Daphnia pulex: one gene and its partner. The protein of the gene in region 1 purifies or fractionates together with the protein of each later gene. This does not show direct contact. Links are inferred from orthologs where the notes say so. Each region holds a gene or a part of one and is shown in the gene's direction. Other genes may lie near its edges. The genes, in order: splicing factor ESS-2 homolog and protein FRA10AC1-like.

Region 1 (10,089 bases):
ACTTTTTTGTTTTTGTTTCCAGTGTCGCCACGCCACCCGTGATGGCTTCGTGAAGTCACGAAGAGCCCATCATCAACAACCAGAAGAAGAAGAAAGAACTCGGTTGTTTTTTGTCGTCTTTCATCTTTCTAACTTTTTTTTACTACCCCCCGTCGATGTAAAAGCCCGTTGTTACTACACCCCGGGGTTCTGCGGTCATCTGAAAAGCATCTTAACAGCTCTCTGATGCTTCTTTCGCTCATAGTACCTAATACCACTTGAATACATCGATAGTAATAACCATAATCCTAAACACAAAAATGTGTGTTTAGGATACACACCTCGATGCTGGGCAGCTGGGCCAGCTCTTCGTCGTCGCTGTTGAGGCCATTAGAGTCGGAAGCACCGTTGGTGCCGGTGCTGGTGGTCCGGCGGGTACGGCGCCCATCCAGCGGATGGATCCAAATTTCTCGTCTCAATTCCAGACGGTCGATTTTGGCAGCGTCGGAAACAACGCCCGACGATAAAGAAGAAGAAGCTGCAGACTCTTTGCGGCGGTTGCTGCTGGCCTCCTTGGCTTCACGCCGTTTACGCTCCTGTTGTTCGTACTGGGAAATTAAAAAAAAAAAAAAAAATTATTCAAACGTTTGATGGACGCGGGTCACGAAAGGCGATTGCAAAATACCTTTTTACGATTCTCGTCGAATAGGGAGACGAGGCTCTCCCTGGCCGATTGGAAAGGATTGGAGGCCATTAAACTGCGCATGTAAAGGTAAACAGCATCCAGCTTGCGTCTCTGTTACGAATCGATAATTGAAAGAATTGTTGTTTTGGTTTTTTTAAAGCTGCCAGTGTATACAATGTACATACCGCGTAGAGTGCCAAAATGGCCAGTTGATTGTACGGTCGGCCGTTTTTCGGGTTAGTCAAATTAGCTTTAGTGTACCAACTGTCAGAATGAGAAAAAACACGCAATTACGGCGTTAGAAGTTGTATACAAAAGATATTTCAAAAGAAAACCTTTTGGCTTTGCCGTAGTTGGAAGTTTCGGACGTCATTTCACGATAACGGGCTAAATCGCCGAGGAAGATGAGGATCTTTTGACACGAGATGATGGCCAGGCCAACGTAGCCCAGTCCCGAGAGCAAAGGGTAAGGCTGCGGCTCGAGGTACGTTTCCAGGTTGAATTTGTGCGACTCTTGCAGCGTCTCCAACAGCATCTCGAAATAGGCGGTTCCCTGGACAAATGAAAATGCGTGTTTAAACAAGCGAAATGATGTAATGATCCAAACAATTATACCTCGTCAATGACGTTGAACAGGAGCGACCTGTATTCCTCTTTGGCTTCGGGTTCTTCGGCCGTGGCCTTGCGCAATGCTTCAATGACATTGTGGAATGCCACCTTCCACATGTGCTGCTCAACGTTCTCCATAGCGCAGAAGCGCAAATCATTGGCCAACATGATCCGCAAGCTGTTCTGGAAGAATTTCCTGTTGCAATGACGGAACCAATCAAATCAAAAAAACAAAAGAAAATGTTAAAAATACCTGGACCGAATTTAATGAGGCCAACAATTGTGAAATGTCGTCATCCGTAAAAAAAAATTTTACAAACCTGTTCATCTGGATGCGGCCGAACCGCTGGTGGAGACCTTGACCGTGAAGCAACCACGACAACTCCATGTCGCAACGGGCCATGTCCATAAGGAGGTGCGGATGACTTTTGCTGCTCCGGAAACTGGAGGAGACAACAACGAAATTACCAAGTGACGTCAATGAAATGAGCAAATAGAAAATACTCGGAAGAATAAGAAACGAGTTAATTTATTCCTTGTAATTACTTTTCAGACTGTGGGTCGTACCACGCTGGCCTTGCAGAAGAATTGACGTTGCTTTGATCAGCCGGAAGAGTCAGGAAAGTCATTTCCGGGCAACCTAGCGACGATGCGGCCGTCGATTGTTGGCTATTCGGTCCGTCATCGGCTCTGGTGGCCACCACAATCGGCTTGTGCGGATTGGCAGGATCAAACAGGGTGCGCTGCTGCACTGGGCCAGTTTTGCGAGGATAGGAACGATTGGCCACGTCACCACCACCACGGTTATGATCCTGCTGACGAGGAATGGACGATCTGTCGTACGAGGAGGCCGAAGGAGCCGTGAAATCACTTCGCCTGGGCGAAGAGGAAAGGCGCGATTGTTCCATCGACGGTGGAGGACCTATTGGCAGCTGGATCAACCCTGGAACGGACATTCGCGGTGGTCCGCTCTTACCCGCTTCCTGCCTACGACCCTGGCCCAGGAGAGGTCGCCCAGTCATCGGTGGAGGGGTAGGTCCAGTCTGTCGGTCGACATCCACTCCGTTGGTGGAAGAAGCTGCCGATGGGAGGACGATGTATCCTTGAATGGGTTTATTCTTGTAACGAATATCCGTACAGGCAAAGACGATCTCCGGAACTTTTTCCGGAAGTCTGGCCGGTGGAGCTTGTCGGTATCCAGCTAGGCTTCTCTTGTCTTCTTCTTCCATTTCTTCGCTCCAATCCAGCGACGTCTGAGTGGCCGTCACTTCCTCCAGTCGTCGAAGAGTGCCACGCAGGTGGGACTGCAAGCCGGAACTGCTGTCGACGTTGGACAAAGGCGTCGAGCTCCTAGAGTCCGTCACCGATGTTTTGCGTTCCCGATCGGAGAACGACATGGAATCTTGACTGCGAGGTCGTACAGGAACATGAACAGGATCGGAATCTTCCGCCTGATCAGACAATGGCATTGTTTTGGCAGCGAATCCTGTGGCTTGCTGATACCGCCCTTGGCCTCGGATCGCTTTGCCACCTCCACCAGACCCTGGTCGATGATGTTGTTGGGGTGGATGGTGCGGCCGGATGCTGGGGACATGAGGCAATGATTGCGGGAAAGGATGAGGCAACGATGGTCGAACTGCCGGGGCTCCGGAAATGTTGACAAAAGTACAAGAACCGCCATCCCATTCGGTTTCGACTGGACTCGGATGGACGGCCGTTTGAGGAACCCGGTCAGGTTGCGATTGATGCAGGCGATCCTCTTCGTATTTCTTCTTGAAACGAGGTGGAAGCGAATCGTATTTGTTGGGCAGCGAAGGGCGTTCGTTCTTAGAGTATCCACCACGGCCGGATGGGGGTCTTCCGTCGGACCGGTAAGAGTCCTGAGATCTCTCATCAAAGAGTCCTTCCCTTCTCTGGTCTCGCCCAGAATTCTTCTGCGCTTGGCCTTGGAATTTAGGGTTGCCGGGCGGTTCTGAACTCTGACGATAACCAGGTGACGGTGATGGCGATGGCGAGGTGATCGATGGCGGGCGACGTGAAGTGCTCGTTGGAGACACTGCGTTGGCAACGGGATTCTCCTCTGCAATCATCCCGTTCCTGCTGTTGCTGCTTTGAGGGCTGGATGTGTGGCGGCTTCGACTGGAACCAGTGGCCTGGTAGTATCCACCACTTCCTCCAGCTCTCTTCGTAAGTTTATCTTCGTCCACCAGAAGAACGAACCGAGTTGGCGTAGTCGACTGGTAATAGTTGTAATCGTCTGGTCTGGAAGTGCTACTTGTGCCTCTGACATCACGATCGGGAACCGGGGTTCCAGCTTCACTAGAAAAAGATCCTCGTCGACTGCCTCCAGGACCGCGATTGTTTCGTTTCTTCCTACCACTGCCACTGCGTCCACTTCCTTCAATACAAACAATTCCGTTAGAAAATAATAACCGTTTAAATCGTCAATTTTAACTTACCGTCTCGTTTGTCTTTACTATTGTTCTTGCTTCTCTCTGAATCGTTCCAACTACCACTTGTAGCCGTCTTCTCTTCAAAAGTTTTGGATGAGGGCGGTTTCGTAGCTGCTGCTGAAGAATTGTTGTTAGTTAAAGAAGCAAGGTGTCCATCGGAAAACGAATTCTCCACTCGAGGTTTGCGATCGTTTCGGCGTCTGCCTGAACTTCTTTTATCACTCTGCCTTGAGAGCAGGGACGAATCAATGGATGCAGATTTTGAAACGTTATTCGGTGGGAAAGGGTCGCTAGGCTGGCTTGCCCTCGCTTCTTCTTTTGGCTTGACTGGCTGTCTTTCTTGACGGTTGTCATTCTTCTGTTTGCCATTTGAAGGCTGATTTGGAGTTGGACTGCTTTCGTGGTGACCAGTTGCTGGGGATTCATTGCTTCTCTGCTGCTGTTTCTCTAGAAGAAGCTGTCGAAGGTCTTGATTTGATCCTGCATCCACATTGTCTTGGTAGTACAGCTGCCTCTTCCCTTGATTACTCGGGACAGGGGGTTCCTTGAATTCTTCTTTCTTTTTTTTGGTGTGCTGTTGGTGGTGATTTTCTGTTCGTGGCTTATCAGAATTTCTATCTTGTCTCTGGTTGTTGGTCCTTCTCGTTTTGGATTCTTGAGTGTGAACCTCACCACCCCGATCTTTAGATTTGTTGCTCTCATCGTTTAAATTGACATTCCTAAAATTTGATTCAAGACCAGTGTCAATGTCTGCTCTTCCAGTGCCTTGCAGGCTGCTGCCTGGCTGTATGTTTTCAACATTGCTGCTTGACTTTTTCAGAGGTCCTGATCCAGGACGGTAAACAGCAACTTCAGGCCTTGGTCTTCGCGACGAACGCGAATGGTCAATATCAGCATTCATTGATGAAAGTCAAGACATTAAAACAATTGTGCCTTGTAAAACCTATTTCGTTTCAAAAACAAAAAGAGACGCATTAGAAAGCTACACACAAGTTTGGAGCAGCGCCATTTCCATAAGGCCTAGAGCCACAAATTAAGATTGTCAAAAGAAAAGCTTTAGTAATTTGTGATCCTCGATGGCAATTCGTTTTAACGGACAATTGACACAAGATAAAGCATTACATTAAGTATCAAAATTTAAGATTGGAAAGAGAGTGAATCACGTACCAATCGTCTCAAACACAAAGGGACTTGTCTAGGCAACGTGAAGTTGAATTGGTTCACCACAAATATGTGGCATTTGCCTTTTGTCTGCTGTCTTTCGCTCGCGACGTTTCACAATCAATTTTTCTCTCTGGGGGAAAGTTGACTTGTTTTCTTATTACAGTGTAGTTTCTACTGTAATTATTAAAAATGGCTGAGCTTAAAAAAGGAGAAAATTTAGCATTGCAACAAGTTAAGAAAGAAGTGACGCTTTTTAAAGTCCCTTCGGCAGCTCAAGCCCCGAGAAAAAAGAAGAAAGTCCTTGATGAAGACAGCTTCGTTCACAAACTGGAATCTATTATTCAACGCGATTTTTTCCCTGATTTGACCAAGTTGCAAGTGCAGGCCGCCTATTTAGAAGCTATGGAAACAAATGATATAGTCAAGCTAAGGGAAATTTATGAAAAATACAGTGTTGGTCCTGGTGTTCACGATTCACGTAGAGGACACGCCACCCCATCAACATTTGAAACACCTACAAGGGATTTTCAAGATTATATGTCTGTTCACAGTGCCTCTAGCACCACATCCAAAAGAACGGCAATAGATGATCAAGAAAGTCTCGATGAATTTCTATTCAAAAATACAAGTGAAGACAATGAAAGCTTTGAGGAAATGATGGATGAAGCCAAGCGGAAGCACAGACTAAAGGTATGATTTCTAAAAACAAAATTTAAAAAAATTTATTCCTAATGTTATTATTTGATTTCAGTATTCCTGGTTATATGATGTTGAAGACAACAGCACGTCAAAGCAAGATTCGACTTTGGCCCTTCCATCTATTGAAAAGCAGGCAATTGAGGATTCAAAGCCAGCATTGATTGAAACCTGGAAATACAGAGTCAAAAACTCCATTATGTATGTTCCTGAAGGTAAAGTACATAAATGAATTGCTTCTTGATAAAAAAAACTTATCTGAACATGCAATCTTCTTCTTCAATAGGAGCCCCATATACTCTGGAAGAAAGAGTGAAATATGCCCTTGACAAAGATCATATTCAGTACGCCAATACGCATTACCAGTCGAACCCTTTCGACGAATCCCGAAACAGAGAAGCGTTGCATAAAGCAGCTCAATTACAGACCAATACGAGACAGGGTCATGTGGACGTTGATGGCAAGGAAATAAAGTCCAACGCGCCACCCACAGTTAACGGGTTCGACTTCATGAAAACACCTTCGCCAGTACCGGGTGTTGGTGAATCACCCCTAATGACTTGGGGAGAAATTGAGGGAACCCCGTTTCGCTTAGATGGTTCAGACACTCCTCTTCCGTCTTCCTCAGTTGGAGTTGGCGCCTTCCAGCTGCAGCCCGTGTCCGAGCGGGACAGAATTGGCCACAAATTGGCGGAAAAAGTCGGCCAAGGTTACCGAGATCGCCGTGGAAGAAATCGATCCTCCGCTACTCCAATGGCTTCACCCCGTTCTAGTAGCGGAACACCTAAAACCGCCGGAACTTTGAGGTAAATGAAACTTATCGCCTTACGCTTTTAATTGCCCCTTACACATAATTTTTTTTCTTATCCATTAACTAGCCAAAGAATTGCGCTCATGTCCCCTGCTGCTCGACGGTTGGCGACTTCAAAACTTGGCATCCGCCTCAGCACCGATCCAGCTTTGCAAGCATCGTATACTCCGCGCCGTCGATCGGGAGATGAGACACCAACACCAATTCATGGACGGACACCTTCCACTCCATCTTATGGAACGCCACGATCCTCACCGCTTGTTCGAGCTCGAGGTTCTGGCGCCGCTAATCTGACCGACAATCTTCTCCAGTTACCCAAACGCAAGGCTCAAGATTTCTTTTAAAATCATTCACTTAAATTAGCATTGAATATTTGATAGCCCCTTTACACCTGGTTGAAGTGTTGAGGGGCAGACTGTTGATAGACCTGAATGAAATGGCTGATAAGCTTGAAGCGAATACAAATGAGGTTGGCGAAAAGACTATTTGTCTTTTCGTTGATTTCCTCTTAATAATTGAAAGAATCACATCCATTGATTATTCGATTATTAACTGACCATCCGTCTGTGTTGCCAATCTTTGCCATGTTTGACCAATTTTAATATTCATTCAATTTTTTTATTTTACTAGGTACAGAAGTTACTACATTAAATAAGTAATTCAGAAAATGATGTTAATCATTGTAAGCTCAAATTAAAAGATCTTGGGGACGACAAGCTTCATTAACTTGTAGACGGTCGACAATTCGTGGAGATTGTAGGGGGTTGGATTATTTTCTGGGCATTTCTTGGGAACTTAATAGTTGCCCGTTAGAGTAAGTGGTAGGATGAATGTCATGGTACTTTGCAGTTTTGAGAGTTCCATGGTTATAGCTACCCTTGGGGTACTGGGTGTAGGGTACTGGGTGGTTGCTGTGGCTTTTAACGTAAGGAGTTTGGTAATTCTCGCTGGCTTTAGGGTAAGAAGTAGAATAATGGTGGGGGTACTTGGGGTGTGGATTGGGATTATACTTGATGGAAGATGCACCATGTTCTTTGACGTAAGGAGCTTGATGATGGTATTGGCCTTTATTGTAGGGAGTTGCGGAATGCGTGTTGTCCTTGGCGTAGGGAGTGTGATGTGTCTCATGGCCTGTATTGTACGGAGTTGAATAAATATCGGGGTACTTGGCGTGGGGAATGTTGGCTTTGACGTAATGAGTTTGGTGATGATACATCTGATGGTCCTTTGTGGGGGTAGTAGAATAAGTGTCGTGGTACTTTTCCGTCGTAGTTGAAGGATAATGATTCACGGGATAGTTGTGTTGGGGATTTTCGTCATTTTTTCCATCCTTCTTGGCGTAAATAGTAGGATAAGATCCAACGCTATAGGGAGTCTCATCGTTTTTGGCCTCTCCTTCGTACTGGATGTCAGCGACGTAACCATTCTCGTCGGCATGGTAGGTAACTTTTTGCTTACGACCATCCGGAAGCATGACGTGATAGCTTCCAGAGACAGCTCCTTTGCCGTTACTAGTTTCTTGCTTGCCGTAGTCAACGCTGGAATGCGCATCTTTTACATTGAAATTGTAGTTGTATGTTCCATGTTCCTGGTTAATGTAATTCGTTAAGATAACGTCTATAACCAAATTAATAATTTAGAAATTATGCTTACGTCGTAGGGTTCAGAGTGATGGTGACCACCTTGATGTTCATTTTCTGGTTTCTTATAAACAGGAGTGTTATGATAAGGATCGGTATCATACCAAACTTGATTAGCTGCTGCAGAATCAGCCAGGCAAGTAAATGCCAAAGCAAGAAGAACAAAAACCTGCAAAATATTTAAATCGCCAATTAACTATTATGTTTTTATTTTTAACTAGAAGTTATTTAAGTGTTATTACCTTCATTTTGGAACAATAATTGAAGCTGAATCAACCAAGGAGAAGGACTGATGCTTTCTTGGAACTTGGACCTCCTTTATATACTGAAACTGTCATGACATTATAGAAAGTCCACTTCAATCATTCAAAATCGGTTGACGAAATAAAGAGAATGCGGTGTTGCAATTAATTGCTGTGATGCTATTTTTAAAATGTACATTTTGCTCTTCTTATTATTAGCGTAGCCAAAATAAATTGATGTCCTAGAACTTTCTCGTTTTATTTCTTCGGTGTTGAGAGATGACCTCGATTGATAAAAACTTGTCTTCCATTATTAGATTTTTTTTTAAACTGACACCTGACACCAGCAAGTCTTTTGTAATGATTGTTAATTGGAATTTTATCATTCCAATTATTTAGCTTCTATATTTGCTAATCGCACCTGCCTCAGAAGGATTTGAATTATTAAAATAATTTACATTTTTCTTGGTGAAATGGCAATGGCACACATTTTGGGGACTTTTGAAATTTGGAGGGAAAAATCGAAATTAAGAATTAAGTATCGATATTAACTATCGATATACTAAGGCAAGGCCAAACTATTGGCGGGAATATGACGTCACTTTGGCGAAAGGAAGGGGGAAAGAAAGTTCACTGCTCCCAACCTTTACCTTTTTGTTATTTAGTGCTACATTTACTTCTTTACAGTTTGAACCAAGGTTTAAACAAGTCGTGCAGGTTTTTCAGTATTTTACTGATAATATTTAATTTATCTTCATCTGATTTATTTCCCCGACAACGCTTCGAAATTTTCAAACTTGTTTTCCGGTGCCTTAATTATTTTCTAAACTCTTTTCATTCAGTTCGAACCTAGCACGGATCAACCTTTGGCAGGGGCGGTTAAATTGATATTAAAAAATCGGCATAATTTGCTTACTTGAGAAAGAAAACGCCAGCAGGCGGCCATGAAATTGGAGGGTGGGTCAATCTCTCAATCAGGTCATTGGGGGCGTAAGTAGTCGAGCAGGCGATATCGTTCCTGTCACAGCATCTACATTGTTGTACCGAGGGAAACTCGCGTTCCATTACTGAGCCTATTTAAGAGGAAATTGGAATTCATTGTATTCTCAAGAAAAAGATAAACCAACAAGTATATCAACGACTGATCTGAACTGTGCAGCAAAAGACAGGACGAGTGTGTGGATCGAAGAGCCTCCACGTGGTCGGTCAGTGTCTCGCTTGTCTATCGCGTAAATTCCCATTTTTCATCTTAGAGTAGATTTTGTTGGAATGCCACAGTCTACGATCTCTCCCATCCGAATGACTGATGCCCATTCAGCTACTTCAGTTGGATCAGCTAGCAGCCTTTTAGTTTCTTCAGAAAGTGAATCGGGTAATTACAATTTGTATTTCTTGTCACATGTCATTAAGTCTTACGCCATTACCTATTTCATTTATAATAGCTAAGGAAAAGTTAGATAGCACAAGCAGTTTAAAGAATGGGTATGTTGGATCATTCACAACCCTGGCGCAGCCTTGTCTGCCTTATCCACCCTACCCAGAAACTGAGCAAAAGAATAGGGCAGTTTCGATGGCTGAAACATCACCAGTGCTTCGGCATGTCCAGGAGCAGAAAACGGCAGAAAAGACTGAATCTACCCTTATAACTCCCAAAGGTGAGGAGTTAAGCATCAAAGATGATGCTTTGAAGAAAGATAGATGCTTGTCGACAGCATCTTCAGAAAGTAGTGGTGGAGGTTGTGGAGGGCTTAAGAAGAAAACATATAGACGTTTTGGAGAAGTAGATAAAGAAGAAAAGAAGAAAATGACA
Region 2 (9,443 bases), on another chromosome or scaffold:
GATCTAAAGTGAGTTTCCTGACCAACAATTAAAGAATAAATAACATTGACAATGAAATTCTTTTCTTAGGGGTAAGAAGACAACGTCGCAATTTCCATTTTCGTTGATGCTCGATTCTCATGATGTGGGATCGCTGGATTTCGTGGCACCCGATCAGCAAACGTTCGACTACTGGGTAGATGGAATCAATGCACTTCTAGGTCCGTATTTCAAAGATAAAATACAATTCAATCACAATTTTTACAAATTCAAACTTTACAGGCAATAAAATGACGAGCAAAGAGGCCATGGCCGATTTGGAATTTCTACTGTCGATGAACACAAAACTCAGGTTGCTCGACGTGGAAGGATTGGACTTGCCCGAAGAGCCGCCAGCCATACCCCGCGAACCCACCAATTACGATTTCGCCGTGGAGATCAAGTAGAAGATCTGATTCGCATGTGGCAGGAGTGTGGACACAACAATTTACCTAGTCGTTCCTAATGAAGAAAGAACAAAAATCCCAGGCTGTCTTCCCAATTCCAGTACCTTTCGCCTTTTATTAAATCGATGTGGTGGAGATCTCGATTGCTTTTTAAATAATTAGCATTTACCTCAGAATGAAATCAGTCGTTGAGGCAAAAAGAAATCACAAAAGGTATGAGCTGTCTCAATGAGTTATCATCATAATATTTTGACTGGTGAATTTACAGGATGCAAAATACAACATACGAGTGTTTTAATTTTTACCGCCAATCACGTTTGTTACTATACTTTTCTTAACTAATCCAATTTAGTCAATTTTAGAGCTTTTGCAGAGAAATAATCGTTGAGAGTGTTATGGTAAAAACCGAGCTACTGAGTCACCAACACAATATTTGAACAATATGGGTATTTTTCTTCATCGCTATTTCATTTTATCTCAACGTATTATCGTCTACTTTTATATCGTTGTAAACGGATCGTTTAAAGTGCCGCGCTGGCCAGTTTACTTGTTTGCCAACTGACTCATTCGCCTTTAATAATCTTTCCGTGTAACTATTTTTTCTAATCAATCTTCAAGTTACATAGCGGCGGCATGGATCACAATTCGTGGAAAACTTGAAAAGGCAATAAAACGTGCCTTTGTGTTCAACGATCCCGTTTCCAGCCCGTGAAAAATCAACTTATCAAAATGACGCTGAGCTGCCACGTGCACTTTTTGGTTTGGGAACGATGATACGCAGACAAGAAGCCACGCCCCTACAAGTTGTATACAAATGCGGACTACAAGTACTTGAGGACGTCGGAAAAGACCTCACACACGGTTATGTGACTCTTGGCAAGTGCTGACATTCAAATTAATCGGTCCGATTAGTAAGCAACACTCGGCGTAATTAGGAACATGACGTTTTTGGAGATCTGGATCCGCCAATTTTGGCAATCCGTTGTTAAATGGATCTTTCGCATCTATTACCAGCGAGTCGATGACAAATCGAAACGAATTTCGTCCTATTTGTCACCTCGGCCGACCAGCGTCAATTACCATTTTACCCGCCAATGCAACTACAAGTGTGGATTCTGTTTTCACACGGCCAAATCGAGTTTCGTTTTACCTCTGGAAGAAGCCATGCGGGGACTCCGGCTCCTCCATGAAGCAGGTAAGAATTGAGCTGGTCATATTTCAATCATTGATTTCTCCATTGTTGAATTCGTACGTTTACGCAGGAATGGAAAAGATCAACTTCTCGGGTGGAGAGCCGTTTATTCATCAGAAAGGTCGCTATTTGGGCCAGCTTGTTCAATTCTGCAAGCGGGAACTGGGACTGGCCAGCGTCAGTATCGTCAGCAATGGCAGTCTCATCACCGAAGACTGGTTCATTCGATTCGGTGAATATCTCGACATTTTGGCCGTTTCTTGCGACAGTTTTAAGGTCGAGACCAATCATTTGATTGGCCGTCACCGGAATGGCAACAAAATTCAAACCGGTGACGAAGGAAGTGAACACCTGGAAAGTTTGGAACGGGTGAGAGGATGGTGTCGGGATTATCGAGTCGCCTTCAAAATCAATTCCGTCATTAATGTACACAATGTCGACGAGGACATGAACAGTCAGATCCATCAACTGAATCCCGTCCGTTGGAAAGTAAGAAAATCATTTTTTTTTTAAATAAGCATGTCGTGAAATGATTATAAAGAATAATTATTTACAGGTGTTCCAATGTTTGCTCATCGGCGGAGAAAATCAAGGTGAGGAGGCTTTACGTAACGCGGAGAAATTAGTTATTTCAGATCAACAGTTTGAGACTTTTCTACAGCGTCATTCGGGCGTGGCTTGTTTGGTTCCCGAATCCAATATCAAAGTACGTAAATAACTTTTTAAAATTCTTGATTATTTTACATTTTAATTCAATGTGCTGTTATTTTTAGATGCGCAATTCTTATTTGATTTTGGACGAGAGGGTAATCTGTTATTAAAAGATGTAATTTTTGATTAAATCAACATAATTTGTTCATTTTAATTTTCAGATGAGATTCCTTGATTGTACAAACGGGCAAAAGACTCCATCGCCGTCCCTGCTGGACGTCGGTGTGGAAGCGGCCATCCACTGGAGTGGTTTTGACGAAGAAATGTTCTTCCAGCGTGGAGGCAAATATACTTGGAGTAAGTCCGATATGTCTCCATCTCTGTTAGAGTGGTGAAATCGATGATATCGTAAACGTCTGACACTTGACAAATTTCCACTCAGCCAAAGATTTTTCTTTTAAAAAAGAATGTGTACCTCTTTCTTTTCTAAGAAATACAAAATGACTGCAATCGTACAATCTTTTGAGTTTAACAGTGCGGAATGAATAGGGTTGCCTAAAAAGTCAACGAGAGTATATCCATTAAGGTACCATAATTCCTGAAATCAAATTATCATACCTAGTTATTTTGTTTTCCAAACGATGTCCCATTTAGAAAAAATTTTTACCTTTTTTTTAGGGGTAAATAAGGTAATTGGACTGTGTATCAAGCGAGATTGCATATGGAACATTTCAATCACTTATCAAATTACGTATGGCCGATGGAAAGATGAGTGCCGTGACGTGTCGTTTACTTTTGAAAAGAGACTAATTCTTTGTATTCTGTTGTAGTCTTTTTTTCTAGGATTTATTTCTTTAAATTATATACAATCATAACATTTTGTCGCATTTTGTATTCGTGAAATTGGCACGGCAACCGGTCCGTGCGAGGAAGAGTCCTTATGAATTTGGGTAGTTTTTCACCATTATTTTGATACGAATGAATTGGTTATTATCGTGTCTTTGGGCTACTGACCGAGATTCTCTTATATTGCCGTTTGCATTATTCAAAACAATTTTGCCGCGTGTAACGTTTTGCATTCTAATTGAATGTGAATGGTAGAACGGAACATAGATGGCGTTGTCGACGGAAGTAAATAAATAAAAACAAACCGGGATTGTTTTGACGGTTGTGAGAACTTCGTACTTTCAGATCTAACTTCTAATCCTATCAACTCTAACTATAATTTTGAATACAGCATGTCATCTCGTAACTCGCGGCGAGGTTCTCCACTTGAGGTTGGTCGTTAAGATCTCATTTATCAGATCTCATTTCCCCTAGTCAAAAGTCTAGTGGAACTGAACAATTTTGAATAACTCTTTATCTGATTTGAAATCATCCTAGTTAGATGCTGGAGGATATGATTCCAGTTATGAAGGAGATGAAGAGGAAAACAAAAGGAAAAAAAGAAAGAAGGATTGGGTTGTGAAAGAAAAACCAAAAAGTGAAGGTAATGTGTAGTTTTTTAATGCAGTACTGACTGTCTCACAAACTTTTACTCTGAATACATTTTTTAAATAACAGGTTTAGTTTCCAAATCTGCTTTCACTGAGCAATATGCACAAGAAGCCAGACGAAGTATGCAATCACAATTGAGGGGGTTAACAGCTTACGACAGGCACAAGCTTCTCATCAACGAATACTACCTCTCCATACCTGGAGGAGCTGATATGCTGAAACGTGACAAGTATGTGAAATATTCTTCTTCTTACCCAAACAATTTAATTACAGTAATTTTTTACTCTTTACTTTAGGACAAGAGATAAAAGAGATTTTGACATCATCAAAGAGAATCATCAATTTTTGTGGGAAGAAGACGACACGATCGACACCTGGGGAAAACAGATAGCCAAAAAGTACCACGACAAGCTTTTCAAAGAATACTGTATTTGTGACCTCAGAAGATACAAGGAAAACAAGGTATACTGAAATGAAAATCTCGAATTATTCAAAATATGTATTTTTATTATTTCATCCGCTAGGTTGGCATTCGATGGAGAGTTGAAAAGGAGGTCGTCACGGGTAAAGGGCAATTCAGTTGCGGGGAACAGAATTGCCCACAAAAGGATAACTTGAGGACTTGGGAGATTAATTTTGCCTACGTGGAACATGGAGTGAGAAAGAATTCGCTAGTAAAAATTCGTAAGTTACACAAGTTTCATATTTCTTTCGATTTAATTTGCAACTTTAATTTAAAGGTTTGTGTAACGATTGTTCACATAATCTTAATTTCCATCACAAGAGGAAAGAAGTTACAAAGAAGAAGAAGATCAAGAAGGAAACGAAGAGTAAGCGATCATCGAAGGATCGAAGAAAGAGTGAAGGCGGTGAGCCAAGCACCGAGGAACCGGCTCCGGGAACCAGTAAAGATGGCGTGACTGAAGCTGACGAGCCATCTTCTGCTAATCCTGGTAAAACTCAAGAACTCAGCGACAGTACAGATATTTGGCGCGAGGGCCAACAGACAACCGAAGACAAATCACGCGACGACGAGTTTGAAGAGTTTTTAGAAGATTTGTTTCTTTGAAACACAATATACTTGACGATCTCGAACAAACTTGAATGATTTTATTAATCGATAATTTTCAGTTGAAAGGGTTACATACGTCCAGCATACGTCGGGCCGTGAAAGTACGTGATGTATCCTTTAAACACTTCCTATATTTTCAAATAATTAATATTTCAATGGTTTTTCAATGAACATTATTTGTAAATTTAAAATTTTTGATAATATGATTGAATCCTTAATCCACCTAAATATCAATTATGTTTATGGCCTGTGCAAAGGTCATGAAACTGGTTTGCGTATGATGTCGAGCAGATGACACATTATATAAAGCCGTCGGTGAGTCATCATAGATACTTATCCATTGTCTGGCGAATAAATGGCTAATCCGAAAGATATCACAGAGACCGAAAACACTGAAGACTCCGAAATCCTAGAGGTCTCCGAGGAGGACGAAAGTGATGTAGAAACAGAATCGGAGAATCCTGAAGTGGAAGATGATCAGCAGGAATCGCACTGCAGCACATATGGCTGTCGCTATTTTCTCCTTACAGTAGCGATATTTTACTTCGGCATTATTGGTATGGCTTGGTTTTTCATGTACTTGGGCAGATTTTCCATTCTACGAGGATTTCAATATGTTACGAACACATTCAACTCGACTTTCTCTTTTGAAAATTTGACAACAGCTGGACGTGATCCGCCTGCCTAAACTGTCGGCATCGAAAGACAACGGGAAGAAGGATATATTAACACCGATTTCTGCCCTCCCCTGTTGGTATTAAACGATTCATTCAATTGTTACGTCAACGTAGCTAATAAAACACAAATTTACAGTTCTTATTTTCGTTTATTTTATTTATTAAATGGCTCTATCCCCCCCCCCCACTCCCTCCATCGTTTTTTGAAACTCGAGACAGAGCCCAGAGGATTCGGTTGTAAAATGTTACAAACTGCTGAGTGCTGACTTAAACAGCAAAACAAGTTAGCATATTTCACTGTTGATTTCTAGTTCTTCAAATTACTATATTGTGCGTCGCTTGGTGTTTCAGTGTTTCCACAACATTCTATAAAAACAATTGATGATCGTCGAAGGTCACGAACCATTGATCACGTGATTTAGTCGACCAATCACCCTGTAATCTCTTCAAACGTTCTTGCATCTTTTGAAAAATTTCAGTTAAAAAAAACGATTATGTAAATTAAGAATAGATTGTTTTACTTGTCTCCTTCCTAACATTTTTTCTTTATTACTATTATTTTTTGTTTAAGCGTTTAAGTTACAATTTAAAAATTTACCACCAGCCCACCAGGGTTGGACTTGAAGTACATTACAGTCGACATCGTCAGTTCGTCTGTGGCAGCCAACGTGTTAGAACGTCTCTGTACGTCTCTGTTTCTTAAACCACGCTTCCGTAATCTTCATTCACGGTGATTTTGTAGGTAATTGATGATTTTGAGTGGGTGTTTTCTTAATTTTAAGTACAGTATTAACCTGCTATAAACAAACAAACTCAAATTTATTTACAAAATGAAATGAGAAACAGCTTAAATCAATTATCTATGAGTCATCAGCGCCATGTGCTCCATTGCAACTGTTCATATTGCATCGTTTCATAATGTAACTGAATTTTTTTTTATTTTTATTTGGAAGATTGTTTTAGGAAAAGAGTTGACAAGAGAGACTTAAAATATTCATTTCCACCATGGGCCGAGTTAATAAAAAGAAATTGTCTGAAGATTCTGAACCTGAGGAAGTCAGTGTAGTGGAGCCAGAATACGAAGTTGAAAAAGTTGTGGATAGAAGGTAAGCTAGCTTACTTGCAGATTGCTTTTCTTGATAAGAAAATAACCATCTTATTTTATAATTATTCTAGAGAAATTCAAGGGAAGGTGGAGTACCTCTTAAAATGGAAAGGTTATGAAGATGAAGAGAACACCTGGGAGCCTGTCGATGCATTAGATTGCCATGAATTAATTGCTGAATTTGAAAAAAAGAGAAAAGAAAAATTGGACCAACCCAAAAAGAAAACAGAAGGTACCATCAAGGAAAATAAACGTTCAACATCCATCAAAGACAAACCAGCAAAAGTGAAGGCAGCTGGAAAGAAAAAAGACCAAGAGGTTAGATTTTTAGTGTTCAATCTTTAATTCATTTAAGGGGAAATTCTTGTTTGATGTAAAGAACTTAAGATTTAAACTATTTTTATTTCCCCATATTTGACTATGTAACAGGACCAACCCCAACCACCACGTGGAGTCGAACTCGGCCTTGAGGCTGAGGCGATTTTAGGCTTAACCGATACTTATGATGACGACGAGCCTGGTGAACTTCATTTCCTCATCAGATGGTTAGCTCTTCTCGTTTCTCCTTTTAATAATTTTCTATCCCAGCTTATCAAATGTTTCATTGAATTTACTAACATGGTTTCAAATCTTATAGGAAAGATCAAGATGTGCCTGAATTTGTTCCTGCTGAAAAAGCATATGTTTTATTTCCTCAAATGGTCATCAAATTCTACGAAAGCAAACTTATTTGGGGTGAAAAAAAAAATTAAAAGTAAGACGAATGCTTACAGAAATAATTCCCCTTTTATTTTAATCTTCAAAAATGCACGATCGTGCAATGCCATGTTTAAGAAGAATGAGCTGGTTGATAGATCCTGATCTTACTGCCCACTTCAGAAACACAGATCCTTTTTCTTCCTTCTCTATTGTTTAGCCCTCCACATCTTTCTCTTATCAACCATATCTTAGTATTATCTAGCAAGTGATGAAACAGCTTTTATGTTCATTATACTCATTTGTCTTTGAAGCTAGAGTAAATCGATGTTTTTTAGCGCTAGGTTCACAGAACCAGAAATAAAACGGATGTCTTATAACTTGTTTTTGAATTGTCAACACCTTTCATATTCTTAAACTCACATTTTATTAGAACTGAAGACAAATTAGAAGTCACCATGCTATCAGCACATGAGGTAAGTATGATTTAGATCTGTTTCAAAAGTATAATGTCTTAATAAAACAGTATAGGTTAATCCCTCCCACATCCTTCCATCAACATATCAACTTCCTCCAATGCAGAATTAAAAAGAAAAAAAAACAATTGTCATTTTCTGGACGAAATGTAAGCTTAAAAGGTAAGTAAAATGTTGCAGAATTAAGGAAGAAAGCAGCATTTATGATGTTTGTACACCAAGTTAATTATCAGTTCTTAAATGTTGTTATTCTTTCGGCCATGCATACAGATTGAATGCCGTTTATTACCTTTGGTTCATCAGTTTCAAACAGTTTATAGGTTTCAGCTGTGCAATTTTGATCTCCACGTAACTACTGCCCGCAAACTGCAAGATAACTCTTCAAGACTTGAACAAGTAGAAAAGAGATAGTAGCTCTTGCCAGTGCGGAAGTCCCGGATAAGTATTTGTTTTAAAATGTTCGCTTCATGTCGAAAAAACTAACTATTGTTTTGTCTCGAATCGGCTAGTTGTCACTCAATTTTCCACAGGTATTTAACGTTTGTTATTAACGCGGAACTTTCAAATCTTTTCTACAAAGCTGCTGAGTGTTCGTCGTTCGTCGAGGTGCTATCGCCACTGGAAATGGAGCAAGCTGAAATGGGTAGCGCGCTCGGCCGATTTCTCGATTTGCACATGTACTTGTACATCACAAGTGCACTGAACCGATTTAAAGCTGACCGACCGATTTAAAAGCAGTTGGGACTGCAAATGGCTCTCGATTTAATTCACGCTAAGGTTGAGATGTTCTTATTAATTCATGTCCTTTCGGTCGAATGCTAATAGCCTTGCATTTCTCTTTTTTGCTCAAATTAGGACAAACGTGATTTGGTGACGGGATTGAAAACTCGCACCAAAGCTGGCAAACCAAACAATGAATCAAGTATGTGAAACACATTTTTAAACAACTGATGAATCATAGGCAATTAATTATGCTAAATATTGTTTCTTTGTAGATGCGCGATTCTTTTCCGTTTCGGAATTAAAGGGCAATAATTCGTTGACAAAATTGAAAAAAAAGGTTGACTTTACATTCATTTGTTAACAATTTGGCGTTAAATGCACTGACATCAATGAAAGCAGGACGGAAGCGATCAAATTTATTTTGTTTATGCCCGACACTAAGATCTAGTTGTTACGATTTCTTATAATAATCCTGTATTCAAAACTAAATTCATTACTGATTTCCACCATTCCATGAAAATTGATCCGTTATTGTGGTATTTGACTTTTTTTTTACTCTAGTGGTGTAAACAGCGACTGTGAATGTTCTTTGGATGAAAAGTAAAATTCTAACCTCATTCACATTGAAGGCACACTCGAAGTCTACAAAAATCAACGATCAATTCCGTATGTCCTTGAATGTTCCCATGTGGCCATGAGGCATATCTTCTCAATTTACCCGAAACTCGAGCCAAACCAAATCAAAACCAGGGACGAAGACCTTTTAGGTTGTAAATATGTATGGCAATAGAGCTCGTAAAATTTTGGCGGGTGCCTCAGGCTAACATATGTATTTTATCTCACGTGATGTTCAGCCAATCCGCGAGCAGAGTATAGATGCTTTCAGCGTCGTCTGAATTTCGACTCTTCGGCAGCTTCGCGTGTTCACA

Evidence for each region.
Region 2: the proteins of splicing factor ESS-2 homolog (region 1) and protein FRA10AC1-like purify together in Homo sapiens (co-immunoprecipitation; 3 studies listed by BioGRID and IntAct, counting the BioPlex papers as one, with this or other methods). This does not show direct contact. The link is inferred for Daphnia pulex from reciprocal best matches to the Homo sapiens genes ESS2 and FRA10AC1.

What each region holds. Positions count from the first base shown.
Region 1 is NC_060025.1:1,560,287-1,570,375, reverse strand, and holds splicing factor ESS-2 homolog, read left to right. Parts: upstream 1-5,079; coding exon 5,080-5,580; intron 5,581-5,641; coding exon 5,642-5,801; intron 5,802-5,872; coding exon 5,873-6,392; intron 6,393-6,464; coding exon 6,465-6,741; 3' UTR 6,742-6,921; downstream 6,922-10,089. Other genes in the region: adhesive plaque matrix protein-like, read right to left, coding at 7,167-7,985, 8,051-8,206, 8,280-8,285; MFS-type transporter SLC18B1-like, read left to right, coding at 9,549-9,651, 9,722-10,089. UniProt on the Homo sapiens protein: May be involved in pre-mRNA splicing.
Region 2 is NC_060023.1:11,999,231-12,008,673, reverse strand, and holds protein FRA10AC1-like, read left to right. Parts: upstream 1-3,391; 5' UTR 3,392-3,506; coding exon 3,507-3,545; intron 3,546-3,651; coding exon 3,652-3,757; intron 3,758-3,831; coding exon 3,832-3,994; intron 3,995-4,061; coding exon 4,062-4,227; intron 4,228-4,289; coding exon 4,290-4,449; intron 4,450-4,505; coding exon 4,506-4,834; 3' UTR 4,835-4,864; downstream 4,865-9,443. Other genes in the region: uncharacterized protein LOC124196619, read left to right, coding at 1-8, 70-200, 262-425; radical S-adenosyl methionine domain-containing protein 2-like, read left to right, coding at 1,365-1,620, 1,688-2,106, 2,174-2,323, 2,391-2,423, 2,490-2,663; chromobox protein homolog 1-like, read left to right, coding at 6,520-6,620, 6,691-6,937, 7,049-7,164, 7,257-7,371. UniProt on the Homo sapiens protein: May be involved in pre-mRNA splicing.